Linked DNA regions of Saccharomyces cerevisiae S288C. The protein of the gene in region 2 interacts with the protein of the main gene of each other region in a biochemical or structural test. Each region holds a gene or a part of one and is shown on either strand. Other genes may lie near its edges. The genes, in order: GCR1, RAP1, TAF4 and CCR4.

The links.
Region 1: the proteins of RAP1 (region 2) and GCR1 form a complex in vitro, tested with the Saccharomyces cerevisiae proteins (2 studies listed by BioGRID).
Region 3: the proteins of RAP1 (region 2) and TAF4 form a complex in vitro, tested with the Saccharomyces cerevisiae proteins (2 studies listed by BioGRID, with this or other methods).
Region 4: the proteins of RAP1 (region 2) and CCR4 form a complex in vitro, tested with the Saccharomyces cerevisiae proteins (one study listed by BioGRID).

The regions. Positions count from the first base shown.
Region 1 is NC_001148.4:410,520-416,661, reverse strand, and holds GCR1 (transcription regulator GCR1), read right to left. Parts: upstream 4,409-6,142; coding exon 4,401-4,408; intron 3,650-4,400; coding exon 1,300-3,649; downstream 1-1,299. Other genes in the region: putative AAA family ATPase YTA6, read right to left, coding at 1-899; GPI2 (phosphatidylinositol N-acetylglucosaminyltransferase), read right to left, coding at 5,377-6,142.
Region 2 is NC_001146.8:239,373-244,672, reverse strand, and holds RAP1 (DNA-binding transcription factor RAP1), read right to left. Parts: upstream 2,985-5,300; coding exon 501-2,984; downstream 1-500. Other genes in the region: IES2 (Ies2p), read right to left, coding at 1-205; PPN2 (putative serine/threonine-protein phosphatase), read right to left, coding at 3,362-4,342; ssDNA-dependent ATPase MGS1, read right to left, coding at 4,672-5,300. UniProt on the Saccharomyces cerevisiae protein: Essential regulatory protein in yeast whose DNA-binding sites are found at three types of chromosomal elements: promoters, silencers, and telomeres.
Region 3 is NC_001145.3:274,443-278,510, forward strand, and holds TAF4 (Taf4p), read left to right. Parts: upstream 1-1,602; coding exon 1,603-2,769; downstream 2,770-4,068. Other genes in the region: MVP1 (Mvp1p), read left to right, coding at 1-1,110; PLB2 (lysophospholipase), read right to left, coding at 3,119-4,068. UniProt on the Saccharomyces cerevisiae protein: Functions as a component of the DNA-binding general transcription factor complex TFIID. Binding of TFIID to a promoter (with or without TATA element) is the initial step in pre-initiation complex (PIC) formation.
Region 4 is NC_001133.9:109,874-115,627, forward strand, and holds CCR4 (CCR4-NOT core exoribonuclease subunit CCR4), read right to left. Parts: upstream 3,487-5,754; coding exon 973-3,486; downstream 1-972. Other genes in the region: nucleoside transmembrane transporter FUN26, read right to left, coding at 1-557; ATS1 (Ats1p), read right to left, coding at 3,741-4,742; DNA-dependent ATPase FUN30, read left to right, coding at 5,046-5,754. UniProt on the Saccharomyces cerevisiae protein: Acts as a catalytic component of the CCR4-NOT core complex, which in the nucleus seems to be a general transcription factor, and in the cytoplasm the major mRNA deadenylase involved in mRNA turnover.

The DNA.
Region 1 (6,142 bases), on a different chromosome or scaffold from region 2:
GCTGCCTCCATTGATTTTCTTACTGGCGTTCGTACTCTTTCGCCTGAAGTCCGTACAACGTCAAGTGATCTTCTTTTAATTAGGGAGTTGTCAATCTTTCCAGAAGATTTGCTACTGGAAGAGAAGTTGTCGAGGCTAGCCCTTGATTTGTAATTTGTTTTCCTCTCATGTTTCAGGGTTGATATACGTTTTTTCTCCGCTTGTTCTCTATGTTTGCGTTCTTCTTCCTCTCTCTTAACTCTCTCCTCCTCCAACTTTTGGGCCACTTCAAATTCGACCTTTTCTTTAACCTTTAACTCGATCAATTTTTCCCTTTGAAGTTCTAAGTCCCTCTCATACTGAAGTTTTGCTCCTAACTTTTTCTCTTCTTCTAATTTCCTAGCACGTCTGATATTATCAGCCTGTTTGTTGATTTTAGCCTCCTTTTCGTCAGCTTCTTTCAATTTATCTCTTTTGGAACCCATTCTCCAAAGTTTTGGAAAACGCAAACCATTTCCTGTCCCAAGGCCCAAAACGGAAGAGGAGGATGACAAAGAGGGACTACCGTTTCCTTCGGCCATAAGCGTTTCTGCTTTACGACGTGCGATCCTTATATCCTGGCCAAGAATTTGGAAATCCTCAATGATGCTCCTCAATTCAGGATGATCAACTACAAGATTTCCTAACCCTTTCTTTAAGGTATAAGTCTTTTCAATTTTTCGTAGACCTTCATTGACGTATACCAGTAAAGTGTCTAAGTTTTTGTGGATTTTCCCATACGTTACTGTGTCCTTATTACCTTTGCTATTGATTATTAGGTCTGCTAGGTTTTTATATTGATTTTTGACAACAGAGTAAAGCAATTGCAAAGACTGCGCTAATGTGAAGTTCTCAGGTATACTAAACTTTTCATGTGCCATTATCCTAGACTTTTTTGTGTTCCCTCCTCGGACTTTTCTTCACCCAGGGTCTTACCTCTTTTGCTAATGAGATTAATGTTTTTTCCATCTTTCAAAATTTCGGATAGCCCATCTATCCAGCGGGTTTTCTCAATTCGCCAGGGTCTTTGACAAAAAAATTAAGTTTTCGTAACCCATATAGTCAGTCATGAGAATATATATTTAGTCGTTGATGGAAAGACATTTAGGAATTCCCACATAGGCATACATCCGCATAGGTATGTACACACATAAATCTATATAAATATTAAATAAGTATATATATTTTCTATAAAGGTAGTAATAACCTAATGACATTTCTCGTTATCGTCGCTTCGTTATTTTGTTGAAGGAACTATTGTCGCGGACAACCTCAATAAACTTAAGATGGTGTATTATGTCGCCTTTTGCAATACTTTAATTTCTCTTCTTCTGTCATTGATCTAACGTTCCAATTTTTAAAGTTTTCAAAAATACAAATTTCCTTGTTATTTTTCGTTAAATTTCTAAAGTACAATGATAGAGAATTCAGAGTCAGACCGTTATTTATCCTGAACTTTTCTAGGTCCCCTACTAAAATCTTCCGTATATCCTCCCTCGGTTGTTGAGGATTAGTAAACCTGCCGAGTTTTATGCCACGATCACATTCCGTTTCAATATAATCCATAATAATTCTTCTAGTAGGAAAAAAATGTGAATCTTCGCTAACCTTCCACCTTCGCCAGCCATAATTTTCAATCAATTTTTTTATTGAAGATTTACCGTTCAGACCAATATACCACTCCGCATATAGGTCCCATATTGTTTTATTTTCTCTGGACAGCTTGTATTTGATTGCCTCGTTTGGCCCCGCCTTCGTATCCTTTTTATTTATAATTTCAAACTTAGAAGAACTCTGCGGAAATGATGGAGCTGTCTTTGTCACTGTACCACTTGAATTTGCAGCCTCAGTAGAATTATGAATATTAGAAATTGGTACTGGTTTGTCAGCATCCGTACCAAGCGGATTACTGTTTTTACCATTTTTCTCAGGATCTTTCGATTCTGGGCTGTTATCATTGGGCTCCGACTTACTTGACTCTGGCGGTTTCTCCCTATCAACATCATCACCAGCTACCTCGGTGGGACTTTCAGGCATGCTAGTAGTGGAGTCGTTGTTTGGAAGACGAGGTCGTTCAGCTAGTTTTGAAGAAGATGATGGAGAATCTTCATTTACCTTCTTAGAGTTATTTTCCGTTGTTGAACTTGAGCTACCACCAACTACAAAATCTGGAGAATGCTGAAACTGCTGAGGTGAGCGAAAAGATTCCGTGACAGCTGTGTTAGCCAACGTCGAAAGGGGTAATCTAGGGCTTGAAATGGATTTTGTAAGTAAGGAATCAAGAGCCGTCTGAGACGGAGTTGGTTTATCGTCTAGTTTAAAGCGTTTGCTATAGGGAGACTCACCAACGGGTGATGGAGAAAAAGGACTGCCTGTTGCTGCAGAGGCTATTGAACCTGGTAACGGTAGCTTCCTCTTCTGTACTATATCTTGCGGTTGCGGAGCCAAGGTGCCAAGCATCGGCTGTATAGAATTACTTAAGCTCGGGAACATGTTAATTGGCGCTAGCGCAGGGCTATTAGTACTTTGAACCTGTGCATGTGATTGTCCTTTCGGACCCCTTTGATGTGTTTGGGCTTGTCCGTTGGGCTTGGAGTGATTAGGATCTATCGACTGAACCAAATTACTCAGTACGTTCGAATTGATGCTATTTTTATCTAGTATTAATATCCCCCCACCTGTGGAAGACACAATATTTTCGGACTTTGATCCGATCGCCTGATTTCCTGAAAGCAATTGTCTCTGCAACAGCAAAATTTGGTTACAAACATTGCCTACGGAGTTCATATCTGCTTTTAGTTGTGTTATTTCTTGACTTAACCTGATATTTTCTGTAGTTAATTTTTTTGATAATTCCATAAAGTAAGAATCAACTTTTTGACTCACTTCCTCGGTAGATGGATTTAAAAATTGGGTTTCTATTCCTGTAACATTGTTCAGGGCATTATTGTTTGAATTTTTAATTGAACCGATTCCTTTAAACTCTTCGTTTTGGAATAACTCAGGAATAAATTTTGAAATGAATGTTACGATATTGGGTAGTAATAAGGGATGTTGACTCAGATATCGGAGATCCTGAATGGCAACCCTGCCCATAAATTCAAATAGTTCACAGAGAGAATAAAGCTTGTAATTCGTCCTATCAATAAGAAGCATATCCTGCTTCAAATAAGACAGCCATGGAAATACCAAATCGATCAACTCTTTAGAAGGTTCAAACGTTTGTGACCTTGAAACTTTAACACTTGAATTGCTGTTTGGGTTTTGATTTTGAATATATAGTAAAGGATTGGAATTTAGAGAAATAAAGTTTGAATCTAGCAACGGTACTGTAGTAAAATTCTCAATTGAAATTGGAGGGTTTGGGTGGCTCCATCGTATAACAAAAAATATGGTCAACGCAAAAATTGGACACTTGGAGATATCAGCATCACGAGAAACTGTATTGAAATAATCGTATGGTTGTCCCGTTGCTCCTTCATTCAGCTTTCGCAGCGTCAAAGAATCAGGGTAAGTTTGGTCCACTATCAAATCCACCAATTTCAGAGAGTTTAGAGAATCTACATTGACCTTGAAGTATGATTGTAAAATATATTGTGCAATGGAATAAAAGTTTGAGCTCGTGCTGGTACTATCAACACTTGTTTGCTGTTCCAATTGAGAAAGTAGGGCATTTAATTGGTTAGTATTTGGTCCATATGATTCTTTGCCATTATTATAGGAAGTTGATGGCACACTTTGTGTCCTGACATTACGTTTTATCCTGTTATTTGTCCCTTGAAAAGTTTCTGACATAGCCTGAGTCAGAAAATTCATCCTCTTGTACGCAGACAGACGCAGACAACACTCAATTGATAGCTATTCCCCTCCTTTTATTAAGTATAGGTGCTTTTTTTTGGGGGATAAATTCGTTCTTATAAATACTTAATTGTAAAGCACTTCCTTTCCTTAAGTTTGCGTTACTCTATTAATAATCCATAGTTGGAACCTCACACAATGTTATTTTAAAGAAATTATTTCCTTTTGCTATTTTTGTACTTTTCTATTTCTAATAGAAGAGGTAGAGGTATGTGGCTTTATCAAGTAGGTCGGAAAGGTTTGTGTATAAGATAATATATCAAGCTCTTGGCTAATTTCTTTTTTAATCTTAATATTGTGCTGGTAATTTACTACTTGTCAGCAAATTATATTGCATAAGCAGGCAACTCCTAAAAAAGGTTCAATAGTAATAAGCAATGAAAAAAAGGATAGTTGTGAAAGGCTGCAAATATTACTGAAGGATCAATTACAATACAAGGGATAATAAGTGAGAATCAAGGAAAACTCCATACCCATCGAAAACCTCCCAGATAACATTTTCAGAATGCGTGTTATGATCATACCATACCATTTTCAATATATATCAAAGGCCAATTAAATATAACCGTCGTTTGTCACTTGCCGACTTTCTCGCTATTAACTGTGGTTTGTTTACCGATGAAGCTTCAGCATTAGGAAGATGAGTTGGGTGGTTCTACGTTGGATGCTTTTAATTCGTGAAACAAGAAGTTCGAAGCTCCGGAAAATTCTACATTTGTGGAAGCCGGGTGTACGGAGTTTAAATCTTAATTACGTAAAAAATGATAAATATCGTGGGGAAGTGTCAGAAATTCAGTAAATTAATGACATGTCAAAGCCGTCTGCATCTTAATTGAACATTATGAGAAGGCACAAGAGAGACGAAAATTCTTCTTTAGATACTTTGGCTAGATTGAAAAAAATAACATGTGATGAACGATAAGGCAAAACTTGTGAACAAATTGTTTGTTAAATTTGTGACAGTTACTGCACTTTTTCCCCTCCCAAACGCTTATTTTAAAGGTTTCTCATCCGGGTGATATTATCACATAACCAAGTGCCAAAAAGAAGAAAACAGGAAGCTGCTGCTACCAAGAAACAAGTGACTTTAAATTAGGAGCGGTAGACGCTGAAACGCCTGTTTAACACGGCCGCAAATTGTACCCTATTGGCCAGGTAGTATTGTCTTGTGTTCAGTTTAAGGGGGCGTTTCTCTAATATTGGGACCCGGTTAAGGTGCAAGGGCCCATCAATGCATTCAAAAATCTCCTGAATGTTCAATTTTAAAGTTGTCGTATGATATGTGAATAATCTGTAGTGAAGCAAACTTAATCGACCGAACTGCCCTTTGGTAATTGCCCGACGCCTTTGCTTGTCAGGTTTCATGATAATTATTATTACAGTGACTCTATATATAATGAAATACCGTGGGGTCGAGGAAGAGGACAGGCAATAAGCCCCTGCGGGCAGAAGTCGTACCCCTCCCTTGCTTATCCGAAGGAAATCATGTTCTTGATTGCGCTAATCCAATATTGGTGTTCTTGCATCCCATGTACTTAGTAGATCGTTATCCCGTTTATGATAATTGATTTTCCAGTAGATGAACCACTTAGGTAAAACAGTAATATAAAATACTGAAGCAAAGAAAATCAACAGCATATAAATCCAACCTAGAGCAACATTCAAAAATGAGTATACAATAATATTTGAAATTATTGGTACTACCTTATTCGTCACCGATAAATAAGTGGGTAGAATGATATTCAACTGAATACAAATTAAAAGAAAACAGAATACGTCGATTGTGGTCGAAAGCCTCGATGATAGGACAGCAACAAGGGCGACAAGTATATTGGTGGAAAGGTTAGAGGGTTTATCTTTGGACTTTGTTGACGAAATAACGAAAATGTACCATAGGGTCAGCCAAAAAGACAATGTCCATATGGAATCAGATGCAGTTGTTTTAGAAAGAGATTTGAGGACTGGAGAGAGAGTCAACATTGCAAATGTGATAATCAGCGAAGACTTTACGTCCATGAATGAGGACAATAGAGGGTCGACTTTCGTCCTTGATATAATCAATGTTATAAATGAAAGGAAAATAGTTGGCGGAATAGGATCGAAGCCATAATAGTAAATATATGTAAAAGTGATGTAAATGAAAGAAGTGTTCAATATGGTTTGGTAGAAACTTATAAAATCCAACCTAATTTGAGCGCGAGCAGCTTCTGATAATTTTCTATCAGACTTCTGGTTACTCTCAGCCTTTTGTCTTGCTCTCAACTCA
Region 2 (5,300 bases):
CCACAGAAAGTTCTTTATCTCTAATGCGTTTTGAGGTTCTTACACCCTTAGGTACACTCCTACGTGCTGTTCTTCTAGATGATTTGGCTGTGACTATCTGATCGTCAATATCTTCCGTATAATCATCATCGTCAATGTATTCTTCCCCACCAGCTGAGACGCTGTCGGATAACTCTGCCTCAATGTCACTTGCTTCACTGTCCATTGTAGTCTGCTAATCGCCAGTTATTTGCTAGTTAGGCGTTTTATCCTTGAAGAAAAGACACGTTAAAAATGAGAATCTTCGTTCTGCGTTATACTTTCCTCCTTTTCTTCTCTCTTTTTTGCTAATGGGATTCTATAAAACTGTTCCGCCTTAATCATTGTAAGAATTTTGAAAATTAAAATACGTAAAAGTTTACATAAATTATACATTGAACTGAAAAACAAAGTAGAAAACGTGAATCAGTGAAATAAAGGAGTAAAATAAGTTAAACAATGATGTTACTTAATTCAATTACTCATAACAGGTCCTTCTCAAAAAATCTTTTCCTCATTTCCATTCTACCAGTTCCATGCTTTTTAACCAGTTTCCTTATTTGTTCTTGATCATTGCTTTTTAGCGATTCGTCGTCATCATGTGTCCAAATACCAGGAACGTTGGGAGGAGGATTAACATTGTCCTTAAACATGTTCAAGAAATAGCGAGGAAAGACCATCAGATCCCCGGATAAACACGTCAATATGCTCGTACTGAAATTTTTACGTATACCAGTTTCATCGCAAAGATCCTGTACCAGTTTTTCAGCCTGTGATGGCTCATAATCTCCTGAAATAACTTCATGAAGTTTATCCATAAATTGTCTCGTACTGCCAAAATGAAAGAACAATGGCAGGAAAAGATCTGTTGTTGCAATTTTTGGTGGAAAGCTTATGGTATCAGGATCAATATTATCATATATATCTTCATTCGAAAAATCGCTTCTTATAGCTTCCGCAATCTCGTGTGGATACTCAAAGGGCAAACTATTTGAAATATTGGATAGATCATTCTTTAAACTGGAAATGAAATTCATGGTATCTTCGTCCAGTAATTCGTTTTCTGGTATAGCGTAAGAGTTGGAAGCAGCGGCAGCAGCAGCGGCAGCAGCATTAGCGGACGCTGCATTGGCAGTAGGCTGAACATTTCTTTGAGAACTATAATTTCTTGCCCTCTTGGCGGCAGAGTTATAATTGCCAGGAGTGGGAACGCCAGGCCTCTTGGGTCTATTGGTGAGGTTCTTCATCGGTTCCGGCTCTCTATTCTGAGCTTTTTCAGCTTCATAATAACTAATATAATCATCAATGCCGTAAGCGAGAAGAAACTTCCTAAACCTATCTCTCCAAGCATTCTCAGTATGTGCTGCATGCTCTTCGGCAAAATGCTTGAAAAATTCTCGTGCAATCGGTCCCCTACGGCTTTGGGTTCTGTAAGCTGCAAAGTTGGGTTCACTCCCTGGCACATGATTTGGATCCATTGTCATATTCCTCCTCGCTATAGCAGTGGGTGTATCCTCATCTGTGATAAGTGATCTTCCAGTATCAGGGTCGATTTGAAACAAATCACGATAAAACTGCTTCTTGACCGCGATTGCCAAAGTGTAATCTTCATCTGCTGAAAATTTCCTTTTAATTGATGGTGGCAAAACTTTAGTCTTTATCAGATTTCCATCGTCGTCTCTAACCAATTTACCAAACTTGTCAACCTCATAAACGTACTCTAGTCTTTTGGAAAGATAGACTCTAAATCGGTGCCTAATAGAATTACCCGTGTGGTTAGGCACATAATGGGATATTTCATCGTAAAGAGTATGTGTTGTACGCCTGGTTGGATTTTTTCTCACAACATCCAAAATAAACTCATCTTCCTCATCTGTAAAAGAAGCTTTATTGTGGGAGGGCAAAGCGCCTCTCGAAATCATGGACCTTTGTGCTTGAAAAGATGCATTCCCCTCATCTGCTGTTTGAGGGTTGTTGTCCTGTGTCAAAAGATCATTGTCTTCGTCGTTGACGTTGCTATTATTATTATTGGAGGTATCTTTTTGAGGTTGTTCGATCTGGACCAAGTCATTGTGCCCTCCGCTTGTGATTGATGCGGTGCTGCTTACATGTTGACGAAGGAGCTGAGCTTGCTCTTGTAATCTAGCTTGTTGTTCAGCGTCTACCATAACTTTTTCGCTGGTTGAGTCTTCCGTAGCGCCATTAGTATTCGTAGAGATTATTTCTGTTTTGGGCCTGATAGAATCCTTGTTATCGCTATTGCTATTGCTATTATCTACACCATTAGAATGCGATTCCTCCTGCAACCTACTATCGACAACTTCTCTAAAGTTATCGTATGGTACTAAATAATTTTCCATGTTCAGTAGCGAGTTGCTTTGACAACATGCCTTAATATAAGTCGGAGTTACCGTTGGTAAATTGGTATGATTATAGGGTGACACGATGAAAACATTCTCTTTTGATTCTCTTGGCTTGGAGTCTAGCACTTCACCACCGTTTGCTCTAATCAGACGCGCTAATTGATCAATATCATTTAAAGAGTCATGCGCATCCGCGTCGCGATTAAGATAGAATTTCATATTTGACAGAGGAGGACCACTTACTTGTTCCTTTTTCTCATCAGCAGCGGTGTCATCAGTAGTAGGTTCAGTAACAGATGCACCTGATGTCGAAGCAATGTTAGCGGTAGCAGCAGTATCAGCAATGGAAGGCGTGGTAGTTGTTACACCGACTTCAGTGGTATCATCATCATCTTTCTTTTCGACCTCCGTCTGATCCACTTTCTCACTAGTTTCAGCAGCAGTAGCACCAGTGTTTTCTTCGTTTTGATTAGCTTTTACCTCAGCGGCTGAATCCGATGGCGCTGTGACTGCAGCAGAACCACTGTCAACAACGACCATACTCGGATCCAATGCATCAACATATTCTGCTGGTGCAGTTTCAAAATCATCTGGACTAGACATATTGAGATAATCTGTACGCAAATAGTGTCTTATGTAGGGCGGTTGCGTATACAACGGTTTGTGTTTACTACCTTTTGGGCTATGGGTTTGTTTTGTTTAAAACGTGTATTGATGGTGTTTAGGTGCTGGATGTTGGGTGTTGAAGAAATGATTGCGGTTGTCTGTTTTCGGTTTTGTTTTCTTTTCTCGCTAAATTTTAAAACTTCAACAACGAAGAAGAGGCGGGTAGCGGCCATTGGGCAAGAATACTTGTAGCTCCAGCGAAAGTTTCATTGAAATTTAAGATTCAGTATTATGAGTTACATAATAATATTCATATCTTTTTCATATAGTACATTATATAAAATCTGTTGCGCTTTTAAGTAGTACTTTTTGTTTTAAGAGCATTGTACTTGAATTAATTCATAGTCATATTGCCCCTTCTTAATATCGTACTTCACTTTCATAGATGAAAGCAGATTGTTCTTTATACATGCTGTGTCCAAACCTTTGGTCTGTCTCCGTAGGTTTAGTCCCATGGATGCATCGTGCCCGTAAAATACTTTGGCGTTACTAAAGTGGTCTCCGTATTTGTCCCACAGTGTGTACCATCTCACATAATTCTTGTTTTCCTTTTCACGTGATGTTTTTGACCAGTTCTTCTTATCAACGTACTTCATGTTTGACAGAGAGCTCACGCCCGGAATTTGGTTGGGCTTCATGAAGTCTCCCGGAACCATCCCTGCATGTGCACCAAAGAGTATATCACCGGTAATATCCAGATCTAGTTCTATGGCCATAGAACAATGTTCCGCTAGCTGACTTAATTTGGAAAACCCAAGTTCGCGAGCTAACCGTCCATGTGCGTTGCTGATTTTAGAGATGTCTTGTGGTATGAAATTAGTCTCCGTACTGAAAGTTAAAGGTGTCATTAATTTGGGGCGTCTTACCCATTTCGAGAAGTCTGGGTTTAAATAGGCCATCATGACCAATATTTCATGATTGCCCAAAACGCACTTGACTTGATCCTTGTGATTTAGAATATACGACACGACCTTGTCTGAGTCCGGGCCCTTGTGAATAAAGTCACCCAGCAATATCATTGTTATATTTTCTCCTAGTCCTCCAATCTTGTCATCAATGAGTTCTATGAACTCATCATAGTTACCATGAACGTCACCAACAAAAACGTACTCCTTATTTAAATCTGTTACATGCTCAATTTTCTTCAAGGTGCTAATTGTAGGCAATAAGGAAACTGGTGGAGACAACCGAGGGTTATCAAACTTGAATATATATAGTGTATAAACGCAGCATGCCACAAATAATATCAATGCTGTACTAAGTGTAGCGGCTCGTCTTTTCCGCTTATCTTCCATTTTTGCGTATCTATGCTCCTCAAGCCTGGCTCATTTTACAAGCTGGAAGGTCGAGGAAAAGGAAGAACTAATTCAAGAATAATGTGCTCTTCTTATAGGATGCGTATATGTTCTAATATATCTCAGATGGGCCCGCGAGACTTTTCTAGCATGAAAAAAAAAGGTGGATCCTTGATTATCTAAAATTATAGTTTATATCGTTCATGCTGCACAAAAACGTGCCAGCAATGCAATGCGCCTCAAGCGTAAAAAAACAAGCGGCATTGGCCAACAGAGAAAAAAATATGAATTGTAGACGCGGCATTGAGAGAAGTATGGAAGACCCTTGACTAACCCTGATATGACTGTCTCAAGTCAGGATCTTCTTTGTCTCCTAAATGTTTGCCGTCCAGGAACTTTAAGTCAGTTTTATTTGGACATTTCTCGAGCACTTCTTTGGGAAAGTAGTCTTGTTGGACTTTTCCTTCAATATAATCGGGATTGTACTTGTAGCCTTTATGATAACCCAGCTCCTCCATCAATTTGGTTGGCGCATTTCTGATATGCATCGGTATCTCACTGCTTGCTAAACTGTACATGTTCTCGCTCATCATTGCCCTTAATTTCTTCCAAGCTCTATATAGTTCTACTGACTTTGGTGCCCTAGCCAAAGCAACACAACATTGCGCCAGTGCAAGGTCTGCCTCTGGCAAACCAACTTTCATTACTGCGTCATGTGCCGCGACAGCCAAGGGCAATAATGAACTATCCCGTAATCCGATATCTTCAGAAGCTATTCGAATCATTCTTCGGGCAACATACAATGGGTCCTCTCCTCCCTGCAACATTCTTGCTAAATAGTACAGTGAGGCGTTTTCGTCCCCACCTCTAATGGATTTATGAAACGCAGAGATTGTATCATAATGGTTATCTCCCTTTGGGTCATAGTATGTATTCAACCCGTTGCTGCTGTTGTTCT
Region 3 (4,068 bases), on a different chromosome or scaffold from region 2:
TTACTTTTCAAGCACGCAAACTATTTAGTGAAACATCTCATTGCTCTTCCAAGTACCTCGCCTTCTGAAGAACGTACTGTCGTAAGAAGATACTCTGATTTCTTATGGTTAAGAGAAATTCTGCTGAAAAGATACCCTTTTAGAATGATCCCTGAGCTACCTCCCAAAAGAATTGGATCCCAAAACGCAGACCAGCTTTTTTTGAAGAAAAGAAGAATAGGGTTATCTAGATTCATTAATTTGGTAATGAAACACCCTAAATTAAGTAATGATGATTTAGTGTTAACATTTTTAACCGTACGCACTGACTTAACAAGTTGGAGAAAGCAAGCAACCTATGACACTTCAAACGAATTCGCTGATAAAAAGATATCACAAGAATTTATGAAAATGTGGAAAAAAGAGTTTGCAGAACAATGGAACCAGGCTGCATCTTGTATCGATACCTCGATGGAATTATGGTATAGAATCACGCTTCTCTTGGAAAGGCATGAAAAAAGAATTATGCAAATGGTACACGAAAGAAATTTTTTTGAGACACTAGTGGATAACTTTAGCGAAGTGACTCCAAAACTATATCCGGTACAACAAAATGATACCATATTGGACATTAATAACAATTTGAGTATAATTAAAAAACACCTAGAAACTACGAGTAGTATCTGCAAACAAGAAACAGAAGAAATATCGGGAACGTTATCGCCAAAATTCAAAATTTTCACGGACATCTTACTTTCTTTGAGAAGTTTATTTGAGAGATACAAAATTATGGCTGCAAATAACGTAGTTGAATTGCAAAGACATGTCGAATTGAACAAAGAGAAATTGGAATCGATGAAAGGAAAACCAGATGTCAGTGGAGCAGAGTACGACAGGATAAAAAAAATCATACAGAAGGATAGAAGAAGCATAATAGAGCAATCAAACAGAGCTTGGTTGATAAGACAATGTATTTTGGAAGAGTTTACAATCTTTCAGGAAACCCAATTTTTAATAACACGTGCCTTCCAGGATTGGGCAAAATTGAACTCCAACCATGCCGGTCTCAAACTGAATGAGTGGGAAAAGCTCGTCACAAGCATCATGGATATGCCGATTTCTCGTGAATAAATTTTACGGAGTGAAGACTAACCACTTAGTCTGCCAAAACATTATTGAAGGATATCCAACAGATGTAATTGACGTACTAAACAGAGAAATAATTAGGTAAATAGAGTAAAGATATGTACCACTATAAATTGTTATTTATTTGTTTTTCAATTTTAAATACAGTGTATGAAGCCTAATTCGGATATTATAGGTTCCCATATTTATTAGAAGGTAACAAATCTTTCGATAATTTGGATTAGATAGCCTTATAATATGCCGGACAAACGACGCCCGCTAAAAATGTGTATTCTCCAGTATTCAATATTCGTCATAAATGATCTTAATTTGAAAAAGTGAATGAACTGAACATCGATAAGTCGAATGTGGTCCGTGTAATAGCTCAAATGGGAAAGTTTTTCTAATCAGCATTCTGTATAACCTCACCTGCACGTAATCTAAAGTGCTTTTATCGATTGGTAGTGCACATATTGTCTTTCGGCATCATATCACATAATGGCAAATTCGCCGAAAAAGCCATCTGATGGCACTGGAGTATCAGCGTCAGACACGCCTAAATATCAACATACCGTCCCAGAAACGAAACCAGCATTTAATTTGTCACCAGGTAAAGCTAGTGAGCTATCACATAGCCTTCCGTCGCCTAGCCAGATAAAATCAACCGCACATGTATCTTCAACTCACAATGATGCGGCAGGTAATACGGATGATTCTGTTCTTCCTAAAAATGTATCACCCACAACTAATTTGAGAGTTGAAAGTAATGGAGATACAAACAATATGTTCTCTAGCCCTGCTGGACTAGCTCTACCAAAAAAGGATGATAAAAAAAAAAACAAGGGTACGAGTAAAGCAGATTCTAAAGATGGCAAAGCATCCAACTCCTCAGGACAGAATGCACAACAACAATCAGACCCAAATAAAATGCAAGATGTCCTTTTTTCCGCAGGTATCGATGTTAGGGAGGAGGAGGCTCTTCTAAATTCATCTATTAATGCCTCAAAATCCCAAGTTCAAACAAATAACGTTAAGATCCCCAACCATTTACCATTCCTTCACCCGGAACAAGTTTCCAATTATATGAGGAAAGTCGGAAAAGAGCAAAACTTCAACCTGACCCCTACAAAGAATCCTGAAATTTTGGACATGATGTCAAGTGCCTGCGAAAACTATATGAGAGATATCCTAACAAATGCCATTGTCATCTCCCGACATAGAAGAAAAGCAGTCAAGATAAATTCTGGTAGAAGAAGTGAAGTTTCTGCGGCTTTAAGAGCCATTGCACTAATTCAAAAAAAAGAAGAAGAAAGGCGTGTGAAAAAAAGAATTGCGTTGGGACTCGAGAAGGAAGATTATGAAAATAAGATTGATTCCGAAGAGACGTTACACAGAGCATCGAACGTTACGGCTGGCCTTAGAGCAGGTAGTAAAAAACAGTATGGTTGGCTAACTTCATCAGTAAATAAGCCGACGTCCTTGGGAGCAAAATCTTCAGGCAAAGTCGCCTCCGACATCACGGCTAGAGGAGAAAGTGGGCTAAAGTTTAGAGAAGCTAGAGAGGAGCCTGGTATAGTAATGAGGGATTTACTCTTTGCTCTCGAAAATAGGCGCAACAGCGTTCAGACTATTATTTCAAAGGGTTATGCCAAGATCAGAGATTAATTGCTCATCTCTTATACTGTCTATAATATTTAAAGGTATAGTGTTTCAAATAAACTAGGATATAAAAAAAACAAGATTGACTAACATAAAGAAGGCCGGTTGGTGTCGCTTAGTCAAGTCATCGCCAAGCTATTGAGGACCATTCAACCTTTTTGCTTTGTTCATTTTAACTTTATAATAAGGAAGATATATCAATCCTTGAAGTTAGGCATCCTTCTACCAAAAATAGCGGAAAGAGGAGTGATAATCGGGAAAAAAATTTTCATATTAATACACATTTTTATACATTTACTTGTCATTATCCTTTTGGGTGAAAGGATGTATTATGTATTGTTTCTCAGAAGGGCTTCTAAATTAGTCCAAATAATGCTGTTATGGCACCTAACAAACTCATTAGAGTATTAGTGTTCGCATAGGAAATAGCCGCAGCATTCGCTTTGTTTGCCGTAGAGGAAGAAGAACGAGCTGTAGAGGAAGAAATTGAAGAGGATGAAGAATTTGAGTTTAAAGTTGTATTTGACGAAGAGTTTGAGTTAGAAGTGACATTTGATGAAGTCGAGGTTGTTGAGTTTGATGTAGTATTTCCGGAGGTTGATGAACCTAAGAGAGCCGTTATTGGAATACCGTCAGTAGCCTCAGAGATTGCAGAGGCAATAGCACCGCTTTGATACGTACTATTTCCCGATAGTTCAGGATTAGCTGAGGTACTTAGTGTGCCGTTCCAGCAGTAATCCGCAAAACATTTGGTACATTCAGGGGGCAAGGTGGCATTTAGGCTTTCTTGCTTACGTCTAATGATGGCACAACCTATGCAACCTAAAAAGTTAGAGTCATCCGTAAAGTTGCCCATTGTAGCAGCTTCAAAACCATTTCTGATCATTCCAAGACGTTCTGTAACATTGTAGTTCATCTTCAAAGTACTTTGGTTACCATTGAATGAATGTTTTGTGTTTGGGATATATACAACTAAAGGTGGAATATACTCCAAGTCCGTCAAATTTTTTGCATCACAACCAAAAAACGTTGGCTTATTAGTTAAGCCCAAGTTAAGGAAGGTGTTAACGTCTGGAACATATGGGAAAGCCATTCCTTTACCTTGCTTAGAATACTGGCGCTCATAAGTGTTCGTCATGCACACACCACTTGGCCATGATTCATCAGTATTGTCGGATATATCCAATGCGAACACCACATCCAAGTCACGTTCCTTCTTGATTAGTGGAACCAACGGCAAATTTTGGCCGTCCTCACCACCATCAACTAAAAACAAATCATCGGCATCAACAATACTGGAAGTGT
Region 4 (5,754 bases), on a different chromosome or scaffold from region 2:
ATCACTACAAGCATCATTATAAACATGAAATTGAACCATTTAGGTAAAAGGAAATGCAAAATTGTAAAGAAGCACATGACAGTAAAGACAATAATCTCCCACACAAGCCCGTTTATGACCCTTCTCGAGTATTTGTACTGTCTTTTGGCCAAGTAGATGTTGAACAGCATTGACGATATGGTAGAAAAGGACATCATAGAGCTTGTGAAGATCTTTGCCCAAATGGAGGTGTCTTTGAAAATATCGTGCTTAAAATATTGCGAGGCACTGAGGATACAGTTCCACGGCCATAAAAGACCTATTCCTATGGCGAAAAATGTAATATATGAAAGATTTTTCAACTTTTTTCTTAACGGCAATGTATCCAGTGGTTCGGTTGACACAGATTGCTCTCTTTCAGAATAATTATCGCCTTCTTCATCTGAGTGCTCGTTGTTCTCTGATTCATGTTCTTCTCCAGAGCGTGATATCTCCTCTGAATGCGTATCGGCCAGTGCAGGCTCTGGCACCGCAAGGATTGGCTTCTTGATGGTATCAGTGTCCGCACTAGTACTCATTTTTGCAATCTGGTATGCTTTCTTGCGTTTGATGATAAGCTGTCGCCGTAACGTAAATCATTCATCCTTTCCTATGATTTTTTAAGTCAATTTTTTTTTCTTTTTCGGGAAATTAATTCTGTTTTTGGCATTAATAACAACAAGAAGAATTAAGGATTCGTTATAGAATACAAGATTCTTGGTTTGGTTAAATAATTTTGGCTCTCTTAAATATTATAAAAAGATACTTAAGTAAGAAAGAAACAGGACGAAAAAGATACGCAAAAGAGAGAGAGAGAGAGAGAGAAAAAAAAGATGAGAAAAAAAAGTATAACGTGAAGGCTTTATGGGAAGTGCGGTGAGATTGGGATCGTTTCAATTTTATAATGAGGTAGTGTACAGAGAGGAGGGAGGGAGTGGGATGAAAGTGTGCGGTTTATACTTTCTTACTGCCTGTGTTTGTCTTCATAAATTCAAATCTTGCTAACAATGGTATATGGTCACTGGGGAATTTGTCGTTGGGGAACCCGATAAACTTACTCACGTATTCAGGGTCCACTTCACCCAATAGCCCACGCACCCTTAGAGCATGTGTAGAAAACCATATATAGTCGATAACATCTGTGAATGACGGTGTGAAATTGGTGAATGGTAGTTCTCCGATACAATTATAACTTGATTTGAGAGCCAAGTTATGTGAGAAATTTTTCTCCGACATGTAACCGAAATCTCTACCATTTCCCTCTTGATGTATTTGGACACGGCCTGTATTTATCAATTCGTATACGGCGGAGTTGATGTATGAATTGAAGTCACCACAAATGAGCACAGGAAATTTCTTAATGTCCTGTCTAAAATTGTGCGATGTCTCCTCCTTTAGCAGCGTTTCCAGATGATCTAACAGGACACCTACTTGGAATGTCTTGACATCATTAAATTTTGGATCCCAGTGCAAATGCGTGGTGACCGCCCATATGGTGTCGCCACTAGGAATGTGTTGTAGCTTTAAGAACAGTGCAACGTTGTCTTTGTTCATTGCACGGTTTAAATAATCTTCAGTTCTTTGGAACTTCTTGTGTTTCATCCAAGCACCGCTGAAATCCATGGCGTCTTTGGTGATCAACTTGAATTGGTCCCTTTTGAAAAAAATGCAACACCCGTCCACTTTCTTGGAGTCCTTGGAATGCATGGTCTTGGCTCTTGCCTTTGCATGGAAGATGCCTGTATAACCGTGCTTGTCCAATAGGGGCACCCAATACTCTTCAAAAGTCTTAGACTCCACTTCTTGTAAACACAACAGATCACTGTCGTACGAGAGAATCTGCTCCTTTAATTTATTGCGCCTGTAATCCCAACTTAACGCCCACGACGGTGTGTAACGGTACATTTTTGGGGTGGCATAGTGTTGACATAAGGTGTTGTAGGATAAGACGGTGAACGTCCTCTTGGCTAAATCGGTGGCCAGATGCTCAGTGGATTGCTGCAAAGAATCGTACTCCCTCTGTGGTTCCCCATCGGTATTGATTTCGATGAACCTACGTTCATGCGGTAAGGGAATCTCTGGTCTGTTGTCCCTTAGGTAGAAAATCAATCCCGTGACAGATTTTTCTGTAAGGATCTTTAAAAACTGTTTTTCTAAGGGGTTTCCTTCTACACCAAGAAACTGAAGGTTACACAGGTTCCCAAACTCCCATGGTAATGTGGTGACCATGTTATCAAAAAAGTAGAAGTATTTCAATTGGAAACATGAGCCTAGTTCCGCTGGTAGAGATGTTAACCTATTATGCGACAGGTCCAAAACGCGTAGGTTGCTTAGGTTCTTGATCTCCGCTGGCAGTTCCGTGAGGCTATTGCCATTCAAATATAGTCTCGTTAGAAAATCGTACTTGAAGATGTTGGCGCTGATATTGAAGATTTGCAAGTTGGACAAATCTAGCGCGTGCCATAATTGGTCGTCGTATTTCGAGTCCTTGGGCATGACCATTCTGTTTTCAATGTCGTCATCTTCGTCGATGCTGTACTGAGACAGTTTCTTGTGTTGTAAGAGCGCCTGGTTGGCTTCGTCCTTGCCATTAGCAAACAGCTCTATCTTGGGAGTCAATGGTGTAGAAACTGCACTGTTAGTTGCCGTGCCTGAGGGAGTGCTATCTCCCGTAGGTTGTTGTTTCTTTGCTGTCTTGCTGTCGGTGAGAGTGTCGGCCATTTCCATCAAGGCTTGCTTTGTGCAGTCTACCAGTGATTTGGAGGCTTCTGCAATGTGAGATTGCTGGAAATCGGTGGGCTGCAAAGCTGGTGGTGCAGCCTGAGGTCCGGGGCCAAATGGGCCCGGGACCTGCTGCTGTGCCTGTTGCTGCGCTTGTTGCTGAGCTTGCTGAGCCTGTTGTGTAGCCAAATACTTCTTCATAGCGTTTTGTCTAGCATAAATGTTGGGTTGCCCCAGAGATTGTGCGGACACTGCAGCCAGATGCAATTGAAGCTTCCAGATCGGATTGTTTAGTAAAGAAGGGTCATCCAAGTGCGGGTGTAATAAAGGGTTACTGGCGTTCACATTGATGTTCACAGGCGTACCAACGGTAGGAACCATCCCTATAGAATTTACTGCGGCTGTGGAGGCATTCATCATCACCCCGCTTCCACCGCCGTTGTTGTTGTTGTTGTTGTTGTTGTTATTGTTGTTATTGTTGTTATCCATGTTCATATTGAGCATGTTCGCGTTCCCATTAGCCAATTGGTCGAGCAACTGGCGCGAGTTGTTGTTGCTGGAAGTGTGTACATCGCTGTTGTTCATGAGTCCCGGTGGAGGTATCCCGGTGAGCTGGTTCATGTGTAGCTGCTGCTGTAGAGCGTTTGGTGTACCCTTTCCTAGTAGCCCGGCATGCTGCTGTTGCTGCTGTTGCTGTTGCTGCTGCGGGCCCACATTAGGGTAGCCTAGTAAAGAAGGGTCGTTCATTAGCGGTAGTTTGCAGGGATAACGTCAGTCGGAGTTCCCTTGCTGGTGTCCCTTATGCTGTGCCCTTGTGCTTGAGAACCTTCTCTAAGGTGGAAACTTTTTCAAATTTTTTCGTTGTTGGCCCGTTTTTCGCAAGTACGGGCGATAACAAAAGGCCTAAACGGCTACTTTACCTTTGAGATCTACCACGATGAGAATTAATGCTGAATGGACATCTATGTATATGATAGTGGGTATATAGTTACTTATCAGTGCTAGAGCACGATCCACGTGGTGGCACATCCGCCAAACACGCGAGGTTTTCCAGAGTATTGGCCCACGAGCTGCAGTCCAGGCTGGGAGCCCTTTTGCGGGCCGCAGTTGCCATGCTCTCCCCAGCCCCAGCAGTATACATTGTAACAGTGAGACTTGCCTTCTTGATTAGCAGTAGTTAGAATACCGTGCTCACTCCCGGTTGCAACACCGACAATAGGGAAGTCTAGGCGCTCTTGCGGGAAGAGTTGGGAATGTGTGCCCCTACCAAACGACTCTACCGTATTGAGGCGCGCATTCCACAGGTGGATCGAGGTCCACATGCACAGTACCACTAGATTGTGTCTTTTTTGCTGTTGTTTGAGCTCGAACCCAGTGGGCAGGCGACCGGATGCGTGCACTATGCGGCCGCCCTCGTCCACTATGACCATGAAGTCCTTGCCCATGGCCACGTAGTCTACGGCCACAGACCCGGTATCGTACACCAATACGGGCTCTTTCAGTGATCGGGATTTGGGCTCTTGCAATTGACACTTTGTGTTGCTGCCCCAGCCGTATACTCGGGTGCCTTGCACCACCACAAAGTTCTGGAAACATCCGTATACTGCGATGCGCTCATCGTTGGAATTCAATGGCACATGTTGCTGAGTGAACTCGTAGCAACCGCCTCCTCTCTGCCATACACGGCCATCAGCATCCACAATAACTGTCGTGTCCCAGCCGCACGCCACATCCACCACGGGTGCCGGTACTTCCACGGGCCTCCAGTCATGCACCTGCCGCAGTGCTTGCGCACTATCCAGTTCTCCCCGTCTGTTATCTCCACATCCTACCAGATTCCCGTCATTTGTCAGCATCACGCTGTGGTTCCCACCGCACGCTATCTTCCTGACTATTGCTCCATCATCTCCTGGCACAGACCTCTGTGGGGTATCCATATCCTCATCGTGCCCCAGTCCCAGTTGCCTTTGCCCATTAGACCCAAACGCATACACACAACTCATCGATACAAGCCTGTTATAGCCTTTAATGATCACATTCCATCACTTGCGCTTTGGATCTGCCTGCATTATCAAGGCTCAAACGGCTGCGTTACCCCCGTCGCCGCGAAATTTTTCATAATTTTTCACTTTGTAGGATTAAAAGAGATCATGAGCCCATCTCGCAATGCAACACGTAACTTAAATCAGTACTGGCGTGTGCTATAGTGCTCTATATTCGAGTTTGTTGCTACTGGTGGACACCCGACTATCTACAGTAAGGAACGTAAACAAGAAAAAGAGAGAAAATACGCTATAGTTGAAAACATGAGTGGTTCGCATTCAAATGATGAGGATGACGTAGTGCAAGTGCCCGAGACGTCCTCTCCCACCAAGGTAGCATCGTCGTCTCCCTTAAAGCCTACTTCGCCAACAGTTCCGGATGCAAGTGTGGCGTCTTTGAGAAGCAGGTTTACTTTCAAGCCTTCAGATCCCAGCGAAGGAGCTCATACTTCGAAGCCGCTCCCATCTGGGAGTCCTGAGGTAGCACTGGTTAACCTTGCGAGAGAGTTCCCCGATTTCTCTCAAACTCTGGTGCAGGCTGTTTTCAAATCTAACTCTTTTAACTTACAGTCTGCCAGGGAACGTCTTACAAGATTGAGGCAGCAAAGACAAAATTGGACATGGAACAAGAACGCATCTCCCAAGAAGTCAGAAACCCCGCCACCTGTCAAGAAGTCATTACCACTGGCAAACACAGGCCGTTTATCATCTATCCATGGCAATATCAACAACAAATCCTCCAAGATTACCGTGGCCAAACAGAAAACGTCCATTTTTGACCGTTACTCAAACGTCATCAACCAGAAACAATACACTTTTGAGCTGCCAACTAACTTGAATATAGACTCGGAGGCACTGAGCAAGTTGCCCGTGAACTACAACAAAAAGAGAAGGCTGGTAAGGGCAGATCAGCATCCAATTGGCAAGTCTTATGAGTCATCCGCTACACAATTAGGTTCTGCAAGAGAGAAAC